Saccharomyces cerevisiae S288C: one gene and its partner. The protein of the gene in region 1 interacts with the protein of each later gene in a biochemical or structural test. Each region holds a gene or a part of one and is shown in the gene's direction. Other genes may lie near its edges.

Region 1 (3,678 bases):
CATGCCGTTGGAGCAATTGATCCCAATCATCTTAAGACAGCGTGGTCCAGGCTTTAAATTCGTTGATTTAAATGAAAAAGAATTGCAAAATGAGATTAAGCAGCTTGGTAGTGATAGTAGTGACGGTCATAACAGCGAGAAGAAGGACACTGATGGCGCTGATGAGAATGTACAAATTGGAGAAGATTTCATGGAAGTGGATTATGAAGATAAAGATAATCCAGTGGATTCACGAAATGAAACAGACCACAAAACGAATGAAAATGGCGAGACCGATGATAATATTGAAACGGTAATGACACAGGAACAGTTTGTTAAAAGAAGGAGGGATATGCTAGAGCATATAAATCTGGCCATGAACGAATCGTCTTTGGCTTTGGAATTCGTTTCTTTGCTACTGTCGAGTGTTAAAGAGTCTACAGGTATGTCATCAATGTCACCATTTCTTAGGAAAGTTGTTAAACCTTCTAGTTTAAACAGTGATAAAATTCCATATGTTGCACCTACAAAAAAAGAATATATCGAGTTGGATATATTGAATAAGGGATGGAAGTTACAAAGTTTAAACGAATCTAAAGATCTCCTACGCGCAAGTTTTAATAAACTGAGTTCCATATTACAGAACGAACATGACTATTGGAATAAGATAATGCAGAGTATTAGCAACAAGGATGTTATTTTTAAGATTAGGGACAGGACTAGTGGTCAAAAGCTGTTGGCAATTAAGTATGGTTACGAAGACTCTGGATCTACCTATAAGCATGACAGAGGTATTGCTAATATAAGGAATAATATAGAATCACAAAATTTGGATTTGATACCCCACAGTAGTTCAGTGTTCAAAGGCACTGATTTCGTACATTCAGTAAAGAAATTCTTAAGGGTTCGTATCTTCACAAAAATCGAATCAGAAGATGATTACATATTGAGTGGCGAAAGTGTGATGGATAGGGATAGTGAAAGTGAAGAAGCTGAAACGAAAGATATCAGAAAGCAAATCCAACTTTTGAAAAAGATCATTTTTGAAAAAGAACTGATGTACCAAATAAAGAAAGAATGCGCTTTGTTGATTTCCTATGGTGTCAGTATTGAAAACGAAAACAAGGTAATAATTGAACTACCTAACGAAAAATTTGAAATCGAGTTGTTGTCCCTTGACGATGACTCCATTGTCAATCATGAACAAGACTTACCAAAAATCAACGACAAGAGAGCAAATTTAATGCTTGTTATGTTGAGACTATTATTAGTCGTTATATTCAAGAAAACATTACGATCGAGAATAAGCTCACCCCACGGACTGATCAATTTGAATGTTGACGATGATATCTTAATAATACGTCCCATTCTTGGTAAAGTTCGGTTTGCTAATTACAAACTGTTACTAAAAAAAATCATAAAGGATTACGTGCTCGATATAGTTCCTGGCTCAAGTATAACAGAAACGGAAGTTGAGAGAGAACAACCTCAAGAAAATAAAAACATTGATGATGAAAATATAACTAAATTAAATAAAGAGATCCGTGCCTTCGATAAACTATTGAATATACCTAGACGTGAACTCAAAATAAATCTACCATTAACTGAGCACAAAAGCCCTAATCTAAGTTTAATGCTCGAAAGTCCTAACTATTGTAACGCACTCATTCACATCAAGTTTTCAGCTGGTACGGAAGCCAACGCAGTGTCCTTTGACACAACATTTTCTGATTTTAAAGAAGTAGAGGACTTCCTACATTTTATTGTCGCTGAGTACATCCAGCAAAAGAAGGTGTAATATCCTGAGTCACTCCTTAAACCTACATACATTGCCATAGAATGCCATTTATTACTATATAAAGTCGCATACGTACAAAAGGACAAGATCTTATCTTCGAAAACAAGAATATGAAGGATTTAATAACATTGCCAGGTTAAGAACGGTGTAACAACAATAGAAGTAACACAACACCAATAGCAAACAAACCAACTACAGATATGACTTACACATTGGCAATTTTAGGCTGCGGTGTTATGGGCCAAGCACTTCTTTCCGCCATTTATAATGCTCCAAAGGCGGCTGATGAAACTGCTGCTGCATTTTACCCTTCCAAAATTATCACATGTAACCATGATGAACCTAGTGCACAACAAGTTACCGATCTAGTTGAGACATTCGACGAATCTCCTAACGGTATTAAAGTCGAAAGCACTTACGGTCACAACGTGAGCGCTGTCGAAGAAGCTTCTGTAGTTCTTCTTGGTACCAAGCCATTTTTGGCCGAAGAAGTGTTGAATGGTGTGAAGAGCGTCATTGGGGGAAAGCTACTTATTTCCCTGGCTGCTGGCTGGACAATTGACCAATTGAGTCAATACACTAGCACTGTTTGCCGTGTTATGACGAACACACCTGCCAAGTACGGATATGGTTGTGCGGTGGTGTCCTACTCAGCTGATGTTTCCAAAGAGCAAAAGCCACTGGTCAACGAATTGATTAGCCAAGTTGGTAAATACGTTGAGCTTCCAGAAAAGAACATGGATGCTGCTACGGCTTTAGTCGGTTCAGGCCCCGCTTTTGTTCTCTTGATGTTAGAATCCTTGATGGAGAGTGGGTTGAAATTGGGAATCCCATTACAAGAGAGTAAGGAGTGTGCCATGAAAGTTCTAGAAGGAACAGTGAAGATGGTTGAGAAAAGCGGTGCTCATCCATCCGTTTTAAAGCATCAAGTTTGCACACCAGGTGGTACAACTATTGCCGGGTTGTGCGTAATGGAAGAAAAGGGCGTCAAGAGCGGTATTATCAATGGTGTTGAAGAGGCAGCCCGTGTTGCGTCACAATTAGGCCAAAAGAAGAAATAGATTGCTTTGCGTGAAATGTATGTATGTTCGCTTTGTAGCCGTATATTATTTTTTTATTACTGACCTTGCATTTTTTCGTCATTTTCCCGTCGGTCCGATAATGAATCATCACGATGAATGACTACCCCATAATAATGACACTAATTGGAGCGTATAAAAGAAAAAAATTATATAAATGTGTTTGTAATGAGTAAGAGCAATTGATTCATTTGAAATGAAAATCAAAAATCAAAATTAAAATAAAACTAAGCAACCATGTCAAGCGGCAGTACTATTGTTTCGTCTGACAAGTCGGGGCGAACATTTAAGCATGAGGAAGAACTACCCAAGTTACCATTACCTAAACTCTGTGACACTTTGCAGCGTCTGAAGGAGAGTTTAGAGCCATTGTATTATGCTGATGGTTACTATCAACATCCTTTAGATCCAGAACAAATTGAGAAGCTGTCATCCATAATAAGAGATTTTGAAGAGAATCCCGTAAGTGAGAAGCTGCAATCTAAACTACAGAGCTACCATGACACTAGGGATTGCTACCTTGATGAATTACACTTAGACATCAATAACCAGACCTCCACTAGGGAGATTCAGGACGATGTCCTACCCAGGAATCCCTTCTTGGTTCTCGCAGATGACGCTTTGCCAAACATCACTCAAGCTGATAGGTCAGCCGTCCTAGTGCACTCTGCGGCCAGGTTTATTTCTGCTTTGAAACAAGATTTGTTGCCACCAGATATCAATGCCACCAATGGCAAACCACTGTCAATGGCTCCATTTCTGAACTTGTTCGGTACTACTCGTAGTCCTGTTTTTCAGCGCGGTGAGGTTGAAAATTTTGAT
Region 2 (2,967 bases), on another chromosome or scaffold:
GTTGTACTAATTCGTCAAGCACTGGATAGTTCATTGCAATAACAGGAAGACCTGAGCCAAACATATCTAAAATTTTCATTGGCAGGTCCAACCCTGAACTTGAAGTATGCAGGGAAACTCCGTAATCGCATAATTGTAATAACTTTGGGTAATCCTCTGCTGACAACCACACAAATTCGATTTGACAGCGCTTCCAGTCATATTCTTCTACTTGCTTCATATATTTCTCCTTTAGTGGTCCTTTACCCGTTATAAAACACAAGATCTTAGGCAAACTTGAATCAAATTTGACATAAGAGTTTTCGTAAATCTTTAGGGCACCTAATAAAATACCAATATCTTCATCAGGGGTGAATGATGTTGAAGTCACAATAATTTTATCGCCTTTTTCTGTATCAAAATCATCGCGAATATAATTCTTTATAAAGGCTTTGGTAGTTAGGGCTTTTTGACGAGAAATGTCACCTGCCAAAGGTTGAAATTGGGAAGCCGGGCGGTCGTAGAGAACAGCACATCTCTTTGGATTCAAGTGAAAGCTTTGAATTAAATATTTCCTCATTGCTTCAGTAACAGTCAAGTTATAATCAGCAAATTTGCTGAATATCATCTCTACCATGTAAGATATCAACACTAAAGGATGGTAAAAGTTTCCTTTAAATTTTAGTTGCAATATCGAATATGCTAGATTGTGCCAATCAATAATTAGTTTACAACCGGTCAACTTGTATAGCACAGCAATCGGAAGAATGGGTATGCTCGGTGGATTTTGAACTAGTATGTAATCGCTTCCTCTCAATTCCCAAAGTAATTTGAAAATACTTAAAACTTGAAAAAGCACCTTCTTTACCATAAATATAACTGATGTTCCGCCTCCCTTTCTTTTCAAGTTTGACATATGATGGACGGTGATATTTGGATCACTGGAAATAATTTTGGGTAGAGTGTCCTCCACATAACCGCATAGCTCGACTTGCCAACCTAACTTACTGAAACTTATAGCGTGATAGCATATCCTTGGAGAGTGTCCTACATCACCCAGCACAAATATGATGATCCTTTTTTTGGTCGACTTGTTGCCATAAAACAAGTAGGGTATAACATAATAAACCACTAACGGTATGGAAAGGTATAATATTATTAAGGCAAGTAACCACCGAGGAATTTCCAAAAACATTTTCACCAATTGACTATAGCCCCTAAAATGCCGTTACAATTACCCTCTAATGGCTTTGCTAATTGCTGATTGAAAGATATATGACCAATTAACTTGATGATTGCTATATGCGCGTTCTATTGAAGCAACGTGCAAGATGATCACTGCTTGGATTGACCTTGTTTTAGCAACAAGCCATACAAAGATATCAGACAGGAAAGTCACAGTCAAAGCATGCAAAAATCGACAAAGCAAACATAAGTAGAACCTGAGAACATCAACCATATGTCCTAATGAATTCAAGCACCCTCTTTTCCACCCAATTTGAGACATTTTCAAGATGTATTTATATTTTCGTGTACTGTGATATGACTTTATTCTTAGAATTTTTTATTGCCCGCGTAAGAAGGTGTTTAACAAGAGATCTTGTTAACTCACAAGGGTACTCTGACTGGATAGAAATCTTATTCTTGACCGGAAACTATCGAACTACAAAGAAAGAGCTTAGTTAATACAAATAAAAAAGTACAATGTCCTCCAATCTTACCGAAGAACAAATTGCTGAATTCAAAGAAGCCTTTGCCCTCTTTGATAAAGATAACAATGGCTCTATCTCATCAAGTGAATTGGCCACTGTGATGAGGTCATTGGGTCTTTCGCCCAGTGAAGCAGAAGTAAATGATTTGATGAACGAAATAGATGTTGATGGTAACCATCAAATCGAATTTAGTGAATTTTTGGCTCTGATGTCTCGTCAACTCAAATCAAATGACTCTGAACAAGAACTACTAGAAGCTTTTAAAGTATTCGATAAGAACGGTGATGGTTTAATCTCCGCCGCTGAGTTGAAACACGTGCTAACATCCATTGGTGAAAAATTGACTGATGCCGAAGTAGATGATATGCTAAGAGAGGTTAGTGATGGATCAGGCGAGATCAACATTCAACAATTCGCTGCTTTGTTATCTAAATAGGTGCATCCTTGTGATTTTTTGCTCCCGCTATCTTACCCTTACCATTCTGGTTTTATAGTATTCGTTGAGTATCGTTTCATCTAAAGTTTGACAACCACACGCAAATATATACTGTACGTAGACAGGGTTAATGTTATTTATGTAGATAAGTAATGTTCCTGAGAAGACAGTTTAAATAAAGGATACGGATTGTTTACCAAGGCGGATAACTAAATTTAGCCAGTATTAAGTTCAATGTTGCGTAGCTATTTCATTATTTTAATTTATGCAGTCTGTCATCTTCTTGAGGAACAACATTTCGTTTGTATCTTTCAAAAGGATTTAAGTTATCGTCAGCAGCAGAAATATCTCCCGAATAGGCCCTCTCCATTTCAATAGGTCTTGGTTCGAGCGATTTTAGTAATGGCTTTTTCTTTGGGACCACTGGTGGCTTTTTCTTCAGGTTATCATTCTTTTTTGGGACAACAGGCGGCACTTTCTTTGGACTAGACCTAGAAGGTGGAGGCCTTGGTGGAGTAATAGACCCCGATGCAGACACATATTTTTCATCTAGATCTGAGGGAACAGGGCTAGAGTCCTTCACTTTTTTCGAACCGCCTAACTTTTCCAAATTAACGTTTGTTTTTCTTAATTTGATATGCGACAACTCATTGGTAATGGAGTTTAAAACTTCATCTTGTCCAGTTGCTTCCCTAGTAAGTTCCTTGGGATATTCATTGGCCTTTAAAGAAAAATTTCTAGGTTTTGGCTTTACAACAGGAGGAGGCGCCTTCTTCGTAGACTGTTGCGCTTGAATAGACGAAGTTACAGGAGGTATTGACTTTTCATATTTATTAGCAT

What was found.
Region 2: the proteins of PRO3 (region 1) and CMD1 form a complex in vitro, tested with the Saccharomyces cerevisiae proteins (one study listed by BioGRID).

The regions. Positions count from the first base shown.
Region 1 is NC_001137.3:199,099-202,776, forward strand, and holds PRO3 (pyrroline-5-carboxylate reductase), read left to right. Parts: upstream 1-1,977; coding exon 1,978-2,838; downstream 2,839-3,678. Other genes in the region: SRB4 (Srb4p), read left to right, coding at 1-1,777; carnitine O-acetyltransferase YAT2, read left to right, coding at 3,094-3,678.
Region 2 is NC_001134.8:457,079-460,045, reverse strand, and holds CMD1 (calmodulin), read left to right. Parts: upstream 1-1,683; coding exon 1,684-2,127; downstream 2,128-2,967. Other genes in the region: ALG1 (chitobiosyldiphosphodolichol beta-1,4 mannosyltransferase), read right to left, coding at 1-1,174; AIM3 (Aim3p), read right to left, coding at 2,381-2,967.